Tribolium castaneum: one gene and its partners. The protein of the gene in region 1 purifies or fractionates together with the protein of each later gene. This does not show direct contact. Links are inferred from orthologs where the notes say so. Each region holds a gene or a part of one and is shown in the gene's direction. Other genes may lie near its edges.

Region 1 (3,586 bases):
GAAGGTGGCTCTGCAATGATTCCTCTATCGACTTTTCTCGATTTGTATGAGTTTTTAGCACGAATTGATGCTTCGTTGCCACAAACTTTGAAAAATTACTATTTTTTGGATAAGTTTCTCGAATTGTTTCGCGAGAAAATTGCCAAAGATTCAGGGGAAAAACCGGTGGAAGAGGAACTCGAAACGGATTTTATGAGCGAGATTGTGTCCGAAGTGACGGAAAAAAGTGAAAGGGAGACGAAAAAAGACGATGAGGGTTCGGTTGTTTCGTGTCCAAGTGTCACAAGTCAGGATCCGGACAACTACATGAAATTGTTGATGAAAATACGAGCCGAAGGCGAATTTGAAGAAAGCAACGAAGAAATAAAGGAAGAAACAGAAGAAAAGACGGAACCTGTTGATGAAGAAGTGAAAGAAGAAGAAGTTGAAGAACGTAAAGAATCGGTCGCTGTTTCCGAAAAAAAATTTCCGGAACAGTTGGCTGAAGACGAAAAAATTCCGCAATTTCCGGTTGAAGATGACCTTGTTTCGAAAAGTACGCGAATGTCATCAGCACCGAGTGAATCATTGAAGAAAGATGAAGAGGATTTGAAACAAGACACTTATCTTATGGAAGATTTGGCAAGACTTCGGGTAATTCACCGACTAGTCTACTAGGTTTTTCCCCGAAATAAATTCGGGTTTAGTCATTACAGGAAGCCATGATGGGTGAAAGTGACGACGAAGTTGAGAAATTCAAAGCTAGTATTTTAGCTGAAGCTGGTTTAACTCAATCACAAATTGATGCACCTGAACATTTTGAAACACGAATTGAGAGTGAAATTTTCACTAATGAGTCACTTAAAAGTTACGAAACGTCGACAAGTGAACCGTCCGTCAAGGAAAAAGCGCCAGAAGTAGAAAAAAAAAGTGGGAAATTTTTTTTTATAATTGTTTTAGATTGAGTATGAGGATGTGTTCGTGGATCCAGTTCCAGGAATCGGGCCGAAAGTCCCCGAAAATTTAATTTTGGCCGTTTGTAATTACATGAAAGATGTGGCCAAGTGGCAACATGACATGGTTATGCCGAGGAATATACGGCATTTTGATCGCCCGCCTTTAGAAATTCGAAATCAATAAAAATTTTGCACCGTTTTTTTTTTGATACATGGTACTGCCCAAATCTTAATCATATTTAATCACGTTTCAGTGCGTCCAGTAATCAATTAATAATTATTTGTGCCTCCAGGTGTATCTACTTGATTAGTAAATAAAGCCCTACGTTTCGGAAACACGTATTAAATTTTCCCCCTTTATGTTCGATTTAGTTTACAGTTTCCTGTAATTCAAGTGTCAATTTTTATGTATCGATTGTCAACAAACAACAAAATTGTGTGAAATTGGCTAAAATAACATTGATGATTAACATTTTGCATGTTCTTTGTGCCTAAAGCGTGATATGAACAACCCCAAACGCCACCTCATGTCAAAAAACGCCCCCCGAGGGGGCAAAGCGAAAGACGCCCCCTCGTCCTCCCGTCACGACTCCATCCCTCCTGACACCGAAAACTTCATAAACACCGTCCCTTTGATCCGTCAATGCGACAACACGAAGCTTTTGCCCCGTTTTTCATCCAGTAATCAACCCTAACCTAACGTTTTGCCCCTTTTGATTAATGAGCAAGTTTTTAGTTTTGGGGCGCACCGAAGACGATGGAGTGAACATGGACGACCTTGATCAACTTCAACTCGACCTTGAGAAGTTAATTTCGACGTGTGCTGTGCGTAACCGGTTTTTAAGGGGCGAAATCGAATCGATTGATCGAGTTGAGGAAAAAAGAGACAAAAAGGGCAAATCGTATGATAAAGGGGGGCTCAAACGGAAACGGCCCGATGATAAGGCCAAGTATCGTGATTTGAAAGGGGGCGCACGCCCCCTGAAACGTCATTATCCACTTCCGGTGGATGTGCCCTTGAGGCATGAAATGCCCAAAATTAATTTACCCAAGAATGATACTTCGGATAAGTTTTGGGCGACTGTGGAGCCCTATTGCGCCCCCGTTACGAATTCACACGCTACGGTTGATTGATTTTTTCAATTTTATAATTATGTATTAACAAAAAAAATTTTAGTTCCTCGATAAATTAATCGAGGAATGTTCGCAAGAAATTGATGTAAAAATACCCGATTTGGGCGAATATTACGCCAATGAGTGGTCAGATAATGCAACCGGAGTGGAACAAGAATTGGGGCTAACCTCTAAAACAGTTGGCCTTGATTTGAAAAAGAACGGTTTGAGTGCGTAAGTATTTTTTATCAAGTCATAAAGTTCAAAAAAATTTACAATCAATCAATAGAATGGTTGATTCATTTTCAAACCCGAAAACTCAACGCCTATTGGCCGCCTTGATTGAGGAGAAAGTGATGACGTCATTTCCGGGTGTTACTGGGAAACTCAAACGTAATAAAATCACATTTGTCGTAACTTCAAACTCATTTAATTCACTTTTAAAGCGTCCGATTTGAATATAATCAAGTCAGCTGGTGGTCCACGTGCTGCCATATGTATGGATCGCCGCCTTAAGAAAGATTTAGTCGAACAAGGATTATTAAGTGTTGAGGATTTATCTAAAACAATGCCCGACGATGAGATTTTACAAGAAATAAAAAAATGTCAACAAGAATTGACAGCTGTCAATGAGTATAATGTTGAGGAATTGAAACGTTTGAAAGCTATAGTTGTCAAAGATTTGAAACGGCAAGAAATCAAAGCAGCTCTGGATGTAGTAGATGGCGAAGTTTGTTGATTGGTGTTACCATGGTAACAAAATTAAAACACCTAAAATTTCAGGTTTTGGAAGTTTATAATAAGGTGTTAATGACCAAACAGAAGCAAATCCAGCAGGCCAAGGATGAAGATTTCGATAAAGCCGCCTTTACAAAAAGTTTGAAAGAATTTGAAGTGAAGACACATGTCTTGTTGGAAACGCAGTTTAAGTTTCAGAAAGCTTTGGCGGAATTGCAGGAATAAAAAAAACACCAGTTTTAAGTCTTACATTATTATTATTATTATTTTTGACACATTAATTTACAAATTAGTCTGGTATTTGGTGTTTAGAGTTGTTTTCTTTTTCCTCAATTGTCTAATTAACACTCCTAATTAAATAATTGAAAAACACCGATAAATCAATTTGTACTTGGGAGAGATATTCATCAAAAAATGCTTTTTTCGTTTCGTTTGGTTGGTAAAAAATCACTCTTTTGAATATTCAAATTGGCACCACTGGTGGTATATGAAACGAATGAGTCAATAGTGCCAACCTGACAATCACAATTGTGCGATGAGATGAACTTAACCTATAAAAAAAGTATATTGCGAACATGAATACTACCAACGGCTAAAATTGATTTTCCCTAAATATTTATATAAAAAACAAATCGTAATAAATATGACGCAACAGAACAACAACAAAAAAAATATATCGCTTAATCCTACAAAATTATCACATTTACATTCTATACAAATGATTATCATCATGGATTTTTTTGTCCTGAAATTTTGATTACTATTACATTGTGTCAACATACAAATTCAATACGCGATGT
Region 2 (4,258 bases), on another chromosome or scaffold:
TGATGATTAATGAGTCTGTCTTTGTTTTTGTTGCATCTCACATCTTCAGTTTTTCTCTGAATTCTACCCCCCTAGGTAATGTTGGGCACAAAAATTGGGACAATGAGAGGAAATAAATAAGAAATATTGAATTGAAACGCTTTTATATTAATCAAAAAGATTCAACCAGTGAATTCTTGAATGACATGTTAAAAATCAAAGCGCATGCGCGCGCACTTTTTCAATTTGACAATTAACATTTAAAAAATCCAACAAAGAAGACGAAAAGTTCGAGGAAACTGTCCCACGTTATTAAAAGTACGGAAGGGGGTCATGGAGTAGGTAAATGTTGTTTTCAAAACGGCGCTGATGTTTTTTTGCAATAAGTGTTTGTGTCCACATTGGCGCTGGATGCTCCTAACATCAACAAATGAAGAAATCGTATCTAATATCCACTTCAGGGCAAAACACATGCAAAATTATTATTTGGTTTTGCTTTTGTGAGTATTTTTGACTTATGGTGATCAGGCCTTTCAAAAGGTGTTATCATTCAAAAAATTTTTGACGAGATTTGTAGATTGCAAACTCTTTTTGACTTATTTTTTAACATTCCATGTTTATCACTTTTGTGCCGCAGTAAATAAGTAAATACGGCACTACCTAAATCCAAATCAAACTACAACCCCTACACTCATATAACGTATTATTTATTTACAACTCAAATATTTTTACTTTTTTCCTCCCACTCTAGCCACCCCCCGGAATAATTCTTTATATCTTTGAACCCCAACTTCGTCGCAATCTCGGACGCAAGGGCACTACGTTTCCCCGAACGACACGAAAAAATTAAGGGGGTGCTAGAATCAGGTTTAGCCTTTTTGTAAGTTTTTTGAAATTGTTCAGAAGGCATGTCTTTTAACACTTTCTCGACTTCGCCAAGTGGAATATTGATGCTGTCAGGAATAACTCCGGTTTCCTGCAATTCGTGGGGCTCCCTGACATCGATTAGAAGAGTCTTAGGAGTCGTTTTTACTGACTTGACTTCATCAAATGAGGCGATTTGCGTTGCGAAAAGTCTAAGAAAGACGGGCGTTTTGTTCACAAGGGAGAGGATTTGGGGCCCCCTTGATAGCGACATTGGTAACCTAACCTAAAAAATAATTATGTAATTAACTTAATTGATTAGTTTTTGTAAAGTGAACTACCATAGCGCCAATAAAGCGATTTTTACTATTTTTTATCGCCTGTTTTATTAAATTACGACAGTTTTGGCAAAAATCAGTTTGGAGACTTTTTACAGTCACCGTTGGTATCACACAATTCACACAAAACAAATTAGAGGTCCCGTGGCTACAATCAAATTTTCCCCAATTATTTTTTTTTTCACGTTTTATGCCGATTGCGTTCGAATTACATAATAATTTCATAAATAATCGTCAAAAAACACCGCACTAGTAAAGTGCTAGTGCTTTAAATTTTGCCAGGTAGGCAGCGCTTGCCGCTCACATAACCTATGCACATAACCTAAGTTTTTGTGGTATCCAAACAGTTTTCGAAAAAATGGCAAACGCAAACACCGACTTAACCGAAGAAGACGCCGCTGACTTGCAGTTTCCCAAAGGTGAGCCCCCTTGTTTACTTCTCGTTCTCAACTGAGGTTTCAGACTGTGGCCCCCCTGCGTTTTACTCTAGTGACTCTGATAGTGTTTGTTCGAATTGTTCGTGCGATTTGGTCGCGCCTTACATTTATTGCGCTTTGTGTAAAGTGAATATTTGTTCGCTGTGTTTTTCGAAAGGTGCGGAGTTTGGGGGGCACAAGAACGATCACGATTATCACATAATCCGCGACGATTTTCCGGTTTGGGGTAACACGGACTGGACGGCTCGGGAGGAGGTGGTGTTGTTAGAGTCGTTACAAAAATACGGGAACTGGAATTTAGTGGCGAAAGAGTTCCCAAATCGGAGTGTGAGGGAGATTAGGGCGCACTACGATTGGTTTTATTTAGACAGAAAGGGGTCCAAAGACTTGCCCGAGGCGAGCAAAAGGGACTGGTTTTGTGAGCCGGTGGTGCCCTACAGACAGCGGATTAGCGACACCGATGAGCCCCCTCGCTACTCCCCCAACACAGTGGGGTACAAGTCTTTGGCCGGTTATAACCCCGCGAGGTCCGATTTCGAATGCGAGTTCGATTCGTCGGCTGAGGATCTGCTCTCGAACCTTAAACCGGTTGATAAGGACGATCCTCATTTTGACTTGATCACAAATCTTCAATGTGCGATCATTCAGAGTTATAACCGGCGGTTGAGGGAGCGCCAAAGGTGGAAAAAAATCATAAGAGAACACGGATTGATTATTCTGCGGAAAGTTTACGCTTGGCTTCATCGGTATGACGTTACGATTACACGTCCTGTGTATGAAAAACTGATCCGATTTATGCAATTTTGTACTCCTGTCCAGTTCGAAATGTTGATGGAGGGGTTACACCACAGCGGCGAACTCAAAATACAAATTCTTAGGTTCATATCAAACGGTTGAATTAATATAAAGTTGGTTATTTTCCATAATAGCGGCTTATTGAGTTCCAAAAAAACACGACGGAGAAAAAAATGTTCACTAAAGATTAATAAAAACAAAGAAAAATGTTAAAACATACTTCAACAGTTAGTGGCGTGACGAAAAATAATACAATTTGTATTTTGGAAAAAAAAACACTTGTAAAATTCGATGAAAAATTCTCAAACTCTTCAATATTCACGGAATTTTACAAAACATTGTGTTCAACTCGTAAGTTTTTTCCAGAAAGAATTCACTTTTTCTATCTCGTTGCACAAATAGCTATTTACAATGGAACCGTTTTGGTTTAAAAAAATCTCGCGAAAAAAGTTATATCACTCGCTAAATGCAGAATTAACATTTTTTTCAAACAAATCGGCGCTTCAACACTCGAAAAAGCAAATATAATGCTAATTTCGTTCTAATCGCAATTTTTTTGGCTTCTTTTTGAGCAAATGTTGCGAAATAAATGTGTTTTTATGGATGAACGTGGTAATAAATCTCATAAATAGTAAAATATTGTCATCTTCGAGCAGATTTTTTAAGCAAGTTTAGCAAAATTTCAGTAAAAATTGCGTTTTACCTTAAAAAAACGAGCTTTAAAATATGATAGTTAAGAATATAATTACATATATATTTAATTATTTTATTTATTTATATAATATATAATTGTTATTATTATTTATATTTTATTATATTAAATATAATTAAAAATATAATATAATAATAACAATTTGGTGATTACGTTTTTTGAAGAAATGCTAAACTTTCGAAAAAGGCAGAGTAATTAAATTAAATTTCTCGTTCAAAAAAGGAACTTAATTGAGCAAAGTAAACTAAAATAACCCCAATTTAGATTTAATTCTGTGAATTTCTAGCTAGAGAATTTTTAAACACTTTAATTTTTACCTTAAAACATGTATAAAGGCTCACAAAAAGCTGCAACATAGCATTAATTTTGGTCTTTAAAAATCTTCGGCTTGCAAAAGCAAAAGTTTTGACTTAATTTTGTGATTTTTTTGAGTAACATCTTTTTTTGATTGATTGACAAAACTCCTCATTTTTTGGCCAAGAAAAACGATCGACTTTTGTGTTATCTCCTCCTGGTTTATGCTTTTATGTCATTTTTAAACACAATTTAAAAAAAAATGCTAAAACACGTGAAATTGCAAAGTAATGTTTTTTGGCGAAATATCACAAAATAAGAATTTTCTAATTATGTTGTAATATTTTAGACGTGTTTTGGCAAGATTATCCAAACTAAATAAGTAGTAAATTTACCAATCCAAAGTAAACAACAACAATTTCGATTTAATTTGTGGATTTTCAGTTAGTTTTTGCAATTTTTTTTATTTTAAAACATGCCCAAAGATACGAAAACGACAACATTAACACAATTTTTGGTGTAATTGTAAGGTTAATAAAAATATATGAAAGAGAATTTTTAGCTAAAAACGAACTAAAAGGCTTTGAAGAATTTTTGACAGACAAAATTCTTCAAATAGCTGTAGCCTGACGAACAAGAAAAACGTTTGACTTAGTTTTGTGATATTATTGGTATTTCGTTCTAACAAAATCTTGCAAAAACGAAGTTACTTTACACATATTTCGGCAATTTTTTGAGAAATTTTTGCAAAGCTCGCAAAATAAATATTCTTTTATCTGGTTGAAAACCTTGGTTAAACATGAGACATAGCAAATAGTGCTACATTCGATCCAGTTCTC
Region 3 (2,252 bases), on another chromosome or scaffold:
TCAAGTCGAGACATTTGTGCGAAACAAACGATCTCAACTCACTTTTGGCACTTTTAATCAACAGTTCTTTAATTTCTTCCCTCGATTTTGTTTCCAGGGGCGGAGTCCCGGAATTCTGCACCCCAATGTCGATAAAATTCCGGGGCGAATTCACAGCAAACTGCAATTTTCTCTTAACTGTGTTTATAAAATTGTACGGATACGCCGCACAAGGGGGCTCCAGCCAGGGCGCCCCCTTGTCGCACGTTTGCGTCTCTTTCGCCTCAGACGACGTTTTCGCCAATTTCTGGGGCTCCCGGGCCTTGGCCCTCGAAATTCTCTCGCTTTTTTGCGTCTTTTCGGAGCCCTCAGAAACTTTTTGTGCGGGCGACTTCGAGCGGTCGATTTTCGGGGGGCCCCCCTTGTCCTGTGACTTCGGGCGGTTGGTTCGGACAAGGGGGCCCCCTTTCTCCCGCGCCTTCGAGCGGTCGATCCGGACAGGGGGCTCGCCCTTGTCCCGCGATTTCGAGCGTTCGCGCTTCAACTGCACGTTTTTTGTCACCAGCTCGAGTGTTTTCTGGTGTAATTCTTTCAGTTTTTGCTTTTTCAGATCGAGTTTATTGTCAGTGGTGTTGATTTGGGCCCGCAATTGTTCGGCGCGTTTTTCCCGCTGTTTTTTGATGTAGTTACGCGCCTCGGTGACGTCATAACTGCGGGGCTTTTTCTCGGGATCGGGGGGCGCCTTTTTTTTAACGGTTTGGGTATCAGGGGCTGGCTTGTGGGTGGGGGGCTCAGGGGGCTGGGTCCCAAGACTTATGAGCTTCTCTAGCTCGGTTTTGAGCTGTTCGATCTCTTTTTTTGTGTTTTTTACACGAGTGCTGACATTTTCCACTTGGCTTATGGACATTTCTGAACCCCCTTTTTTTAGCGAATTACGACTGGAAATTGATTAGACTGACGTACAATTCACGAATTGACCCACATTTGTGTTAATTTAGGTGAGAAAATGCAAAATTAACTCACCTTTTTCACATATTTTCAAAACGTCAACCGTTTATAACATAACCTCAATAACCAAGGCCAACAAGGGTGAATAGTTCAAGGCCCCCCACCAAAACTGCAAAAAACAGCCCCTAAAATAAACCACCCCATTCGTCACGAGCCCCCCAAGCTTAATTAAACAAAAAACACAAATTTATAATTATTAGGTGACCAATAATAAACAAATTAATGATTTTTTAATCAAAATTCAAACATGGCGGTTGGCATTGCGCATGCGCGTTTTTTGTTTTTGGTGGGAAAAGTAATTTTGTGAATTTTGTGACCAAATGGCCGAAAAACTGGAAGATTTGAATTTGCCGAACATGACGGTGCAAAAGATAATTAAAGACGCATTGCCTGAACACGTCAGTGTTGGTAAAGACGCCCGTTCGGCCCTGTCAAGGGCCGCTTCAATTTTTGTCCTGTACATAACCTCACAAGCCACCAAAGAGGCGCAAAAAGTGAACAGAAAGACTCTTCTGGGTCAAGACATTCTAACAGCGTTAGAAGAGCTCGAGTTTGACGAATTCGTGGAGCCCTTAAGTGTGATGCTGAGAGGTTAGTTTTTTTTTGAGGTTATGTTCACGTTTCAAAAACCGACTTCAGATTTCAAAGAAGCGAAGCAGAAGAAGAAAGTGAAGAAGGGGGCCGACGTTGAAATGGCGGAAGACAACGACGAGGAGGCCGTGGAAGAGGAAGAAACGGGAGAATCGTAATAAAAAATAAATTTTTTGTGATAGTTTTTTATTCATGAGAAAAAGTAACAACTGACTAGATTAAGGCCACAAATCGTGCAGAATTCACACTTTAGCAACACTGAGCAAAAAAAGTGACGGCAGTTGAACGAACTATGAAATTATTCTAATTTTGCGTTCGATTGAAGTCCTGCACATTGGACAGTCGTTCAAGGTCACAGGACACTGGGAACAGCAACAGAAGTGTCCACATGGCACGAAAATCACCTCACACTGCAAAAAAAAAACACCAAAATTCGCCTTAATTTGAGATAAACAACATACAGTTGAGTCCAAACAAATGACGCATTCAGTCCCCAAATTTGCGACATTTTCGAGTGGTGGCGCACTTGCCTCTTCGATTGGCAGCACTGGAGCTGAGGGGGCCGTATCGGTCGGTATTTGCTCCTTTCGGTACATTTGGAATGCGTCTAAAATGTGGACCCGGTCCGATTTATTCACAATTCCCACTTCTTTGAGGTCGCTTTCTGTGATTTT
Region 4 (4,199 bases), on another chromosome or scaffold:
AAACACTACTGCGGGAAAAAATAACGAAAAGTGGAGGTAAAAATTAATTCATTTAGTTAAAATTTCGACTGGTAATTTTGCCAGGTGCGAAAAAGTCGCCCCCCGAGTTGGAGCAACAAGAAGACGAGTACTTCCAACACTACATGAAGCAATATTGTGACAAACCACCGAACGAAACCACGGGCATTCCGCGTTTTTACAATAAATTACCGAAAGAAGATGAGCCCCTAAGGCAAAAACTGCGCGAGGAGAGCCGCTCCAATTTACTGAAACGTAAAAGTCAAAACTTGTTGGATAACAACGAATTGAAGGAACTGTGGGTGATTTTGGACCAGAACCAGAGCTACCCCGAGGAACAGTTGATAACGTACTCCGATTATCAGAAGGTGGTCACGCTGGTGGGGCCCAAAGTCAAGCCCTACTTCACTTCGGTCGTGTTTGCGAAGCTCCAACAGGGTGACCCCCAGGGCAGAGTCTCGATCATGTCGCTTTTTAACTACGTGATGCGTAAAGTGTGGCTACAGCAGACCAGGATCGGGTTATCGCTGTATGATAGTACGGGACAGGGTTACTTGACTGAAATCGACTTGGAGAATTATATCACTGAGTTGTTGCCAACTTTGCCGCAACTTGAGGGACTGGAAAAGTCGTTTTATAGTTTTTACGTGTGTACGGCCGTTCGGAAATTTCTGTTTTTCCTCGATGGAGTGCGTGCGGGTCGTGTGCGGATTTTAGACATTTTAGCTTGTTCGTTCCTTGATGATTTACTCGAATTGAGGGACGAGGAGTTGAGTAAAGAGGTGCAGGAACAAAATTGGTTTAGTGCCCCTTCAACGTTACGTATTTACGGACATTATCTAAATCTTGACCGTGATCACAACGGAATGTTGAATAAATCTGAACTTGCGGGTTATGGCTCTGGGACTTTAACGCAGCCCTTTCTAGACCGCGTTTTTCAAACGCTTTTGACTTATTCCGGTGAAATGGACTACAAAACTTATCTAGATCTAGTACTAGCTTTGGAAAATCGTGCCGAACCACAAGCTCTTGCTTTTTTGTTCCGCATCTTAGACATAAATAATCAAGGCTACTTGGACTCTTTCACTTTAAATTATTTTTTCCGAGCGATTCAGGAGCAGATGAGGGCCCATGGGGCCGAAGCTGTGTCCTTTGAGGACGTTAAAGACGAACTGTTTGACATGGTCAGGCCTAAAGATCCGGAAAAAATCACCCTGAATGATTTAATCGCCTGTGGGCAAGGGGACACTTTTGTCAGTATTTTAATCGAGTTTCACCGCTTTTGGGCCTACGAGAATCGAGAGGCCGTCACGGCGGAGCCCTCCCAAGACTGATGTTACAATAAATGCAATTTTACATAATTTTCGTCCATTTTTTTCAAAAACCCGCCATTATGGACGTCAATCACGTGACAATAATCTCGAAGTGAGGTTGTGTTTACAATCCAAAAATGAGCGAAACTTGCAAAATCTGTAAATATTGCACAAATAAATTGGAAGATTGTCTCGACGAAGGCCTAACGTGCAGTTCATGTTCGCAAAGTGTTCATTTGCGGTGTCTCAAAAGTGGTTGTGTGCCTGGGGGGCTTCACGGCGATATTTTTTTCACATTCACTTGTGAGGAATGTTCGGAGGCCGGGTCCGAGTCGTTTGTTAGGGAGAAAATGTCTTGGTAATTAGAAATGTAGTAGGTATTTAGGGCGTTCCGTGGACGAGTTCTTTTAGGTTAAAAGTATTAGTTTTGGCTTTGTATCATTTGCAGTCACGAAGTCCGGGTTTGGGGCGCAAGGGGTACTTCCATTGGAGGAACCACATAGCGTCACTAATCGACAAAAACTGGGAGAGTCTGTTTTTGAAGGATTTGTAAGTTCCAACATTTGATTATCACATATTTGTAATTGTTGGTTTTTGTAGTAAAAAGAAAAAAAAATGGGTTGGGACCGTTGCTGGGACTTTATCGCACTTCAGTACGTATTTTTTCAAGTCGGGGACTTCGGTCGTTAATGAACCGGCTTGGTGGGCCCTCACCTACCCCAAACTCACCCCTAACGTAATTTCAAATTTATGTAATTGAGTGAAATAATAATTAAAAAATCAGGAGTGAAAGTATAATTCCAGATGCTGCTCTCACGAACGAGAAGCAAAAAACGAAAATTTTAAAAATATCAGTCTCAGACACTGAATTATTCACACAAATTTTACACAAAAACATCAAAGACGATGATTTGCTAACGCCTTTATTCACTGTCGATGTTCCCAACTTTTCGGAAAAAAATCCAGACGATGAAACCAATAAAAAGGTACAATTTGTTACGTTTTGAACTTACAAATCATCCATTGTTTGTAGATTACTAAAAACTTTACCGTAAATAAAAGAAAAAGTCTTTTACCAACATTTGAGAGCACGTCCAAAAAGTAAGTTTTTCTGTTCAAAGTCACAACATAACAATGCAATTCTAGACTCTTAAAAATGAATAAAAACTCGCCGGTTTTTTCAAACTTAGGTGATGAATTAACGCCAACTTATCTCAAACAAAACGAGCGAAATTTGGGCGAAGCTCAGCCACGTAATAAGCCCCCAAGTGAGCAAAATAAGGAGTCTGTGAAATTGCTCGACCCGTTTTGTCACTACAACACTTGCTTTAGCAGTAAGTCAAGTGAGAGGTGTGCAGGACTAAAGCTAGGAGGCAAGACGAGATTTTTGTAAATATTGTAAAGATTCTGATTTATTGAAAAAGTTGAGAAATTAAGTTAAGTTAAGAAAGGTCATAATTGAATAAAAAAATCTGCCCAAGTACCAATTCCAAAAGGTTATTTTGCGCTTAAAATTTGCTCGATTTTTCGTCATGCCACCAAATATTTTGGTCCCCCATAGTCCCAGGGCTTAAGAATTTACTCCAAAAATAATTTTAGACGCGTTTAGGCAGAAAGGAAGCGAAATGAGAGTCAGGTTGATGGGTGGTATCAGAAAAGAACTAATTCTCTCACCTTACAGCAGCATTTATTTAAAACCTTACATACGAAGAGATACAGAAACTTATCCATCCTGGCTACGCCTAATGGCCGAGATACAAATGAAAGCAAACGAAAAAACACAAAATTACGTTCTACCTCCAAGGGCCCCTATTGACTACACCTACGTCCAACCTGAGCACATACCTGCCATTAACAGTCTCTGCAACAACTTTTTTTGGCCAGGAATCGATCGTAAGTGTCCGAAATGTTACAACACAATTTAATTTTTTGTTGCAGTAACTGAAAGTTTGCAATATCCGGATTTTAGTTGCGTAGTTTTGTACAAAAAATTAATAGTGGCGTTTGCGTTCCTCGTCCCCAATGTTAAATACACCGAAAATTACGTCTCTTTTATTTTTACACGGCCAGGATGGCGAAACGTCGGGATTGGAAAGTTCATGTTGTATCACTTAATCCAAGTAATTGAAAAGTCGATTTTTATTAAACTAGTTGGTTAATTAATTATTTCAGACAAGTCTCGGCAAAGATATCACACTACACGTGTCCATCAACAACCCGGCCTTGTTTTTGTACCAAAAGTTCGGTTTTAAGGTGGAAGCAGTCGTTTTGAATTTTTATGATAAGTATTTACGCGAGACAAGCGAATCGAAACATGCGTTTTTCTGCCGCCTTGAGAGGTGATGTTGCTCCGAGTTGCATCGTGTTTTACGTAATTTATTGAGGCACTTTTTATTAATTTTAATAAAGTGAGAAAGAAACTAAATGCGTCGCCTTTTTGTCACTGGTGGTGTGACTGTGATTGGACTAGATTTACCACTCGAACTGGAATCGTCAGGTTTAGAGCTGCCTCTAGTAGGGCGCTTCGTCAGTTTTGGTGTGTCGTCACTTTTCGCTTTTGCCTTGTTTTCCTCCCTTGGTGTACTACTATTACTCTTACCTTTACTTTTACTCTTTTCAGCCTCTTTCTTGATTTCTTTTTTCGCACTCACTGGGGTTTTGTCCTTACTGTCTTTACTATCACGCCTTGGCACCTCCTTACTGCTCCTCACAGGAGTCTTTTCATCTTTTCGCAATTCCTTGAGCGACTTGGGCGTTTCGCGCCCTTTCTGCGCCAATTTCTTGTCCTCTTCCTTCTTCACAATGAGGGAACCGAAGTCGGAATCGGGAAGTGTGAACTCTTTCTCACTATTCGGGAACGGAATCGAC
Region 5 (3,622 bases), on another chromosome or scaffold:
ACCCCCGCAACTCCATCAATGGCGTTAATGACCCCGCGGTGCTTCTCCGTCTTATAAATCGGGATTAAATTCTCCTCCAAATCCCTACGAGACTTAAAAATTTTGGCCAACTTTTGGACGACTTACCAGACTTGTAACCGCCCGCTGAAGTCGCCAGTCGCAAGGTGGCGGTCTCTTAAACTCGAGGCGTGAAACGTGCCGCATTTAAAGTGGTCTTTCTTGCCGAATTCGGCCACTTTTTCGATCCCATCACCACTGATTGAGTAGGTCTCGATAATTCCAGCCCCGTTTGATTTGCCCCCGATTGAGACGAATTTCGCGGAACAGGGGATCCACTTGACGTCGTGGACGGTGTAGTTCAGGGCTTGCTGCACGTGGCAGATTATTTGGGGCCTTTGGAGCGACTCCATAACGTTTGATTGATCAAACAATTGTTGTCATAGCAAAGCGCATTTTCGGGGGCAATAATTGCCCAAGTTTAAATAAAACAAGCTGTTCTCGTTACGTTTTTAATTATTTTGTTTTTTTTTTTCACCCCCGTTATATCCTGCAATGTTCTTTATTTTTGCAGGAAATTAAGCCCTTCGTTAGGGCCTTCGACTGTAAAAAATCATGTTCGGACAAACAGCCATTGGGACCTTTTTTTACGGCTGTAAAAAAACAATTAGCAATACATTTAAGGATTGCTCTAATTAGTCAAATTATTAACTAATTTGTCCAGCAAATTAGGTTTAGAGCATTCTTGTCAGGAAAAAAGGAAACAGCTTCCAAAGCATTCGAAAAAAAGATTTTTAATTGCATTTTATTCGTAAGAAAGTGAGGTTAAAAATTTGACAACTTGCGCTCTAAATATGTCGTTTCAAATATAAACAGAGTAGTGATAAAAGTAATTATTTTGCTTCAATTCGGTGATTATGTAAGCGCAACAACACTATGATATGTTAGTGACCGTCAAAGTGTTGTTTTTCGCTAAATCGAGAGAAATCGTGGGCCAAAAATCCGCCGAACTTGACCTGCCGTCCCCCATCTCCTACAAAAAGCTTTTAGAAACACTCGTCGGCACGTATTTTTTGGCCGAAATTGCCCAAAACATTATTCTCTCCCTCAATGAGGAGTTTTGCGACGTGGAAAGTGTCGAAATTGTGTTAAAACAGGGCGACGAAGTAGCAATAATCCCACCTCTGAGTGGCGGTTAGGGCCCCAAAATGAATTTTTTGAAATTCACCGAAGACAAGCTAAGTGTTGAGGCGTTGACTGATCTAGTCGCCTCGCCGAAATGTGGCGCAGTCTCGGTTTTTATGGGGACCACCAGAGACAGTTTCGGGGAAAAAACCGTCCTTAAATTGGAGTACGAGGCGTACGAAGCCATGGCTTTGAAGTGTCTCGAAAAAGTGTGCGGGGAGATCAGGGCCAAGTGGCCTCAAGTCGAAAATATCGCAATCTATCACAGGTTTGAAAAATTTAAATTGGGGCCAAATTTTGATTTTTTTTTGTTTAACAGACTGGGGGTTGTGGGGGTCAAGGAGGCTAGCATTGTAATTGCAATCGCGTCCCCCCACCGTACCGAGGCGCTGCAAGCCACCGACTGGTGCATCAACAAGGTTAAAGAGAGTGTGCCTATTTGGAAAAAGGAGATTTACGCTGAAACTGAAACTCCTCCACAGTGGAAGGAAAATAAAGAATGTGGGTGGTCAAGTAAATAAAGTCTAAAATTGATTGGCTCTCATTTATAGCCCCCAAACCGAAAAAATTCAAGCTCGAAATCGAGCCCAAAGTCGAAATTCCCAACGTTTCGCCCCATTTGATTCAAATCAAGGCCTCAAACGCGGACTTGAGCAAACGAATCGAGAATTTTATGGAGATGAAGCGAAACGAAATCAACATAAGCAATGTGAGAGAGTTTTGCACAAGTAATCGAAGTTCAGAGTTCACTTGCGCCCGAGTCGATGCGGTTTTGCAAAAACGCAAAGACTCCAATGGCCATTTGCAAGGTTCGTGGCCCTTAAAAAATCACAATTTTACGATTTTTATTCCAATTTTTACAAGTCTGCTAAAAGTATACAACTGCACAGGGTTATTCTATTTGGCACCAGACATTTTTCATTAATGTTTAGAGAACACATTTTTATCTGAAAATAAAAAAATTAACGAAAAAATTAAGACTTTACGGACAGGACACAAATGTGCCGAGCATGACCTCCTTGATGTATGCAGACAACTTCGTTAAAAATAATACATCAAGGAGGCCATGGCGCCGAGTAAAAATTGACTGAAAAAAAAGAGCAAAGAAACTGCACGGTCAACACGAGAAATATATTTTTAACAGACTAACCCTCTATAAATTTAGCAAAAAATGTCGGGGAAAAGTGCTACTTTTCGGACGATTTTCGAAAAACAAGTATTTCAGACTAATTTTTTTGCAGTAAGTCGGGTTTTGAACACTTACCACCGCGACCAAACAAATTCGGACTACCTGACCAAATACATCCCCCAAAACGGCATTGAGGAGCGCCTCCAAAACCTGGAAATCCAACTCAGTTTGACCACCCCAACCCCGAAAAATATCTACACCCGTTTGAAGAAACTAGAAGACCGGATATTGTTCCTTGAAACGATTTCGCCCGAATATATCAATTTTTGGGTAAGCTTTTTGAGAGATTTCCCTCCCTTTTTAGTGAAATTTTTAGGACAAAAGCCACTTAAACAATAGATTTGTGAAGAAGAAGGTTTTCTCAGTTGAGGAAATCGATTCGCTAATTAGCGATTTGGAGCGGAAGGTTCAGGAGGAGAAAAAATAAATCTGTTTTTAGTTTATTATTATTATTAAAAAATAAATTACGTAAATATTGTCGGGTCGGTAAACCTGGCCGTGAAAATGTAAAAAAAAGCCGGCAGTGGGACCAACAGTAGCAACAATGAGTGAAAAGTCGGGTCACTAAGCTGAGTTATTGAAATTAAACCATAGGCGTGTAAACACCAATGGCCCACTAAGATTACCACATTTCTCGGGTCTACAACTGTTGTTATGATGAGTGAGGGAATCGATTGGTTGATTTTGAGGGCAAAGTGATAAGCACACGAAATAACTGACAAAATAACGACCAAAATTGGGAACGCATAATCTGGAACAAAACCAATCAAAAGTGTGATTTTTGGCGCAATCATTACGTACAAAGAAGTCCCCCAATTAGGGCATGGACCACCACCAAAATCGGTATATAGTACATGGCGGCATAAATCGACATTTTGCTCTGCCTTGGAAGGTATTTCCGGCAAACCCATGGCCTTATCAAAAGCATAACAATCAAAGTCAGGGCATAAAAAATAAAAACTAGCGTATACCTAAAACAAAAACACTCAATAAAGTAGTATAATCAATTAGTAGCCCTACAAGGGATACACAGCCTCCTGGGTACAATGCACCCTCTTCTCATAATCCGGGGCCGGATTATGCAACAAAGTGTACCAATCGGCCAAGCTGCGCACTCTGCAGTTCCGCACCTGGAACTCGCCGAACGGGTGCGTGAAAAGCACCGACAAGAGCCCCGAAATGACCACTTCCACCAGCGCAGTCAAGTGTAAAATTAGGACGTCTTTTTTGAAGCTACAACGAACAGTGAAG
Region 6 (2,645 bases), on another chromosome or scaffold:
CCTGATTTTTGGACCTAAGAGAGTTAGATAATGGGAGGAATTCAGGATGAAATGGTTGAATACGATTAAGGGTCAAAGAAGTTCAGAATGTTTCAGAAATAGATAGATTGTTTCGTTTTTAGTCTATCGGAATTGAGAATTGTGAAGGAGAAGCAAGGAATTTCATTTTTTGTTTCGTTCAACATTGTTTTCTGTTGGAATAAAACCTTTTCACTAGTCAGTGTTTTATAAAAAATGGATTAAAATTAAAGATACAAAACCTAACATAATTCAGGGATCAGTCTGCATCTTCAAAATCCTCATCCTCGTTGCCATTCCGGTAGCTGTACTGGACGTCGACTGAGTTGTTTTGTAGCCTTTCGGCCAAACTGTCGACAACTGCGTCCCCAATCTGCTCAGACTCTGCTTCTATAAACATTTCTTCTTCTGCGTCCGCGAATAAATTATCATCGTCCTCGTCGTCAACATCGGCAGGATCGGGATTGAGTTCTTGGCAAATTTTTATAGCCTCGTAAATACTTTGTACATGTGTGGGGTTTTCGGGGGCTAAAATCAGCTCCGAGAGGTCTGGCTCTGACTCAACGTCACTGTCATCATTTGCGGGCCTTTGGTCAGTTTCTCCTACAAAACGACGCACAATAAACCAAATTTTGCGCAAAAAATTACAAACCAAACAAATTTATGTGGGGGTCAGTCAAAATATAAATACACTCCCTCTCGCACACGTTGGGGTCTTTGGACACCGCATGGAGCGAGACGTTGTAATATTCAATTGAAAAACCCGTAGTCCCGTCTTTTTGCCAACTGAGTGTCCTGTAATTTAACACAATGTATTTTTCGTTTGGTTTTGCCATAATTGTGTTACCTTTCGCTCACAAATAGGGTTCCGGTGCCCAGATCACGTTTATCCAAAATCACCACAACGTTTGACTGCTCGAGTCTTATAGGAGATTCTGGTGGTTTAAACGACGTGACCACAACCATTCTTCCTCCACTTTTTTTCGCAAAACGTGTTTATTTTTCAAAATTATTGTAACCACAAACTATGGCGCTTGACGTTTAACTTGGGGATTTTTATTTTCTTTTGGCGGCGTTGTGAGCTAAGGACCAATCACGGGCTGGTATTTTGAACCGGCTGTGTTTGATTGGGGAAAAAAACCTGTTATTCTGTGGGGAAAATATTTGTTGTCAATTGAGGTTAGGTGTTTGTTGACAAAAACTGATGGATTCCCAAAAAACAACCTTTTGTAACGAAATCTCGCTGATGATGTTTGGGTTCGGCGACAGCCACAAGCCGAACCCCGAGACGGTGCGTTTGGTGGAGAGCATCGTGTTGAAGCAGCTCCGCATGATCGTCCAGGAAGCGCTGAAGTACTCCGATGGTAAGAACCTCAAAGGCAAGGAGTTGGTGTTCCTAATGCGGCACAATAAGCACAAAATGCGCCGCTTTTTCCAATATTTGAAAAACAAGCAACTCAAACAGCAACTCCAGTCGTTGAACTCGGGGGTCATTGAAATTGACAGAGATCCCATACCGAAGAACGAGCTAATGAAGTTTATCGAGTACATAGACGAGACGGGAGAATTCACCGATTTATCCGAAGTTGATGAAGTCAAACAGTCGAGGATGCTGAGGGCTGATCGCATATCTCAAGCCCTGGACGAGAAGAGGTATTTGGAGTTTTGCAAAGCGAGAGCCACCTCGTTTTGCAGTAGAGATATCACGGCCCGAAACTCCGAAAAATTAAGACAGTGGATTGACCCGAAAAAGGAAATTAATTTCAGCACTAATGCTATGGTGGTTTTGTCGTATTTGGGGTACCAGACAGTTGCTGAGATAACCGATTATGCGTTGCTTGTGAGGATGGAGGGCAAATGTGGGAGTGATCCACTGAATCATTTATACGGCAATTACTACACTTCTACGATGTTTAATGGGGATTATAGGATAGGGGCTAGTGGTAACAATCCAGACTATAGCAGGGTTTACAGTGGACAGCCCCCCATTAGTGTCAATGAAATTAAAGAAGTTATGAGAAGAATTCACTGTCCGCAAGCAGGGAAGCTGAATTTCGGGGGAAAACTACCAGACACGCATTATCTATTTGCTCTGTAATTTGTTCTAATAAAGTTTAATTTTTTAAACGGTCTTTTATTTATCCAAATATTACGCTGCAAAATTTATGTGCAGCGAATCCATTCTCGACAAATTTTTTACGAAAAAAATAGAGATTATGCAAGATGATATTGAAGCAACCGATGTTATAATTTCTCTCGCCAAACTCTGAAAACAAAGGTATTGGGGTCAGTCAAGTTAGCCTCTCACTTATTTTTTATAATTTGGATTGTTGTGCTAATGTTTTTATTAATTGTGCTTTTTCGAAACTAATCTTAGAGCTAAAGTCACTGCTAACCGTGCAATATTTTAATGTGTTTATGTATTTTTAAAATAAATAAATTTTAATACTTTCTTCAAAATTCTTTAATGTTTATCAGATGTTTTTGCCTATGGTTAAATTGTGTAAGGCATTTATTTTAACATATAATTTAAATTACTTAACTTTGGTGTGTTTTATCGTCATTTGTACTTTTTTGTACGTAATTTAAAAAATGTTTAAATAGGGAGACATTATCAGGTTCCCAAC

Evidence for each region.
Region 2: the proteins of Ada3 (region 1) and transcriptional adapter 2-alpha purify together in Drosophila melanogaster (affinity purification with mass spectrometry; 5 studies listed by BioGRID, with this or other methods). This does not show direct contact. The link is inferred for Tribolium castaneum from reciprocal best matches to the Drosophila melanogaster genes Ada3 and Ada2a.
Region 3: the proteins of Ada3 (region 1) and DNA polymerase epsilon subunit 3 purify together in Drosophila melanogaster (affinity purification with mass spectrometry; 3 studies listed by BioGRID). This does not show direct contact. The link is inferred for Tribolium castaneum from reciprocal best matches to the Drosophila melanogaster genes Ada3 and Chrac-14.
Region 4: the proteins of Ada3 (region 1) and Atac2 purify together in Drosophila melanogaster (affinity purification with mass spectrometry; 4 studies listed by BioGRID). This does not show direct contact. The link is inferred for Tribolium castaneum from reciprocal best matches to the Drosophila melanogaster genes Ada3 and Atac2.
Region 5: the proteins of Ada3 (region 1) and Mocs2B purify together in Drosophila melanogaster (affinity purification with mass spectrometry; 3 studies listed by BioGRID). This does not show direct contact. The link is inferred for Tribolium castaneum from reciprocal best matches to the Drosophila melanogaster genes Ada3 and Mocs2B.
Region 6: the proteins of Ada3 (region 1) and Spt3 purify together in Drosophila melanogaster (affinity purification with western blotting; 3 studies listed by BioGRID, with this or other methods). This does not show direct contact. The link is inferred for Tribolium castaneum from reciprocal best matches to the Drosophila melanogaster genes Ada3 and Spt3.

What each region holds. Positions count from the first base shown.
Region 1 is NC_087401.1:17,517,297-17,520,882, forward strand, and holds Ada3 (transcriptional adapter 3), read left to right. Parts: upstream 1-1,284; 5' UTR 1,285-1,438; coding exon 1,439-1,616; intron 1,617-1,671; coding exon 1,672-2,060; intron 2,061-2,112; coding exon 2,113-2,282; intron 2,283-2,337; coding exon 2,338-2,441; intron 2,442-2,494; coding exon 2,495-2,778; intron 2,779-2,831; coding exon 2,832-3,011; 3' UTR 3,012-3,086; downstream 3,087-3,586. Other genes in the region: uncharacterized protein LOC103313297, read left to right, coding at 1-633, 687-896, 940-1,119; uncharacterized protein LOC656520, read right to left, coding at 3,550-3,586.
Region 2 is NC_087398.1:11,844,522-11,848,779, reverse strand, and holds the start of transcriptional adapter 2-alpha, read left to right. Parts: upstream 1-1,458; 5' UTR 1,459-1,539; coding exon 1,540-1,600; intron 1,601-1,643; coding exon 1,644-2,496; intron 2,497-4,258. Other genes in the region: rhodanese domain-containing protein CG4456, read right to left, coding at 698-1,129, 1,185-1,187. UniProt on the Drosophila melanogaster protein: Component of the histone acetyltransferase (HAT) complex ATAC; predominantly involved in acetylation of histone H4, including at Lys-6 (H4K5ac) and Lys-13 (H4K12ac).
Region 3 is NC_087394.1:1,508,981-1,511,232, reverse strand, and holds DNA polymerase epsilon subunit 3, read left to right. Parts: upstream 1-1,235; 5' UTR 1,236-1,307; coding exon 1,308-1,578; intron 1,579-1,626; coding exon 1,627-1,736; 3' UTR 1,737-1,752; downstream 1,753-2,252. Other genes in the region: centrosome-associated protein 350-like, read right to left, coding at 1-886; E3 ubiquitin-protein ligase LRSAM1, read right to left, coding at 1,869-1,988, 2,040-2,252. UniProt on the Drosophila melanogaster protein: Accessory component of the DNA polymerase epsilon complex. Participates in DNA repair and in chromosomal DNA replication. Histone-like protein which promotes nucleosome sliding of ATP-dependent nucleosome remodeling complexes.
Region 4 is NC_087396.1:22,635,598-22,639,796, forward strand, and holds Atac2 (cysteine-rich protein 2-binding protein), read left to right. Parts: upstream 1-1,399; 5' UTR 1,400-1,468; coding exon 1,469-1,689; intron 1,690-1,742; coding exon 1,743-1,880; intron 1,881-1,931; coding exon 1,932-2,083; intron 2,084-2,135; coding exon 2,136-2,317; intron 2,318-2,364; coding exon 2,365-2,432; intron 2,433-2,477; coding exon 2,478-2,665; intron 2,666-2,930; coding exon 2,931-3,224; exon of another isoform or gene 3,225-3,269; coding exon 3,270-3,451; exon of another isoform or gene 3,452-3,503; coding exon 3,504-3,674; 3' UTR 3,675-3,751; downstream 3,752-4,199. Other genes in the region: serine/threonine-protein phosphatase 2A regulatory subunit B'' subunit gamma, read left to right, coding at 1-36, 85-1,352; MrgBP (MRG/MORF4L-binding protein), read right to left, coding at 3,752-4,199.
Region 5 is NC_087396.1:21,505,853-21,509,474, forward strand, and holds Mocs2B (molybdopterin synthase catalytic subunit), read left to right. Parts: upstream 1-1,205; coding exon 1,206-1,450; intron 1,451-1,501; coding exon 1,502-1,683; intron 1,684-1,733; coding exon 1,734-1,991; intron 1,992-2,423; coding exon 2,424-2,641; intron 2,642-2,687; coding exon 2,688-2,798; 3' UTR 2,799-2,835; downstream 2,836-3,622. Other genes in the region: Wdr92 (dynein axonemal assembly factor 10), read right to left, coding at 1-84, 127-410; Mocs2A (molybdopterin synthase sulfur carrier subunit), read left to right, coding at 939-1,196; JNK1/MAPK8-associated membrane protein, read right to left, coding at 2,836-3,122, 3,173-3,342, 3,392-3,604. UniProt on the Drosophila melanogaster protein: Catalytic subunit of the molybdopterin synthase complex, a complex that catalyzes the conversion of precursor Z into molybdopterin.
Region 6 is NC_087394.1:28,289,673-28,292,317, forward strand, and holds Spt3 (transcription initiation protein SPT3 homolog), read left to right. Parts: upstream 1-1,198; 5' UTR 1,199-1,222; coding exon 1,223-2,116; 3' UTR 2,117-2,145; downstream 2,146-2,645. Other genes in the region: Upf2 (regulator of nonsense transcripts 2), read left to right, coding at 1-31; icln (methylosome subunit pICln), read right to left, coding at 278-621, 671-813, 866-984; uncharacterized protein LOC103312536, read right to left, coding at 2,168-2,284. UniProt on the Drosophila melanogaster protein: Component of the transcription regulatory complex SAGA, a multiprotein complex that activates transcription by remodeling chromatin and mediating histone acetylation and deubiquitination. The SAGA complex predominantly acetylates histone H3.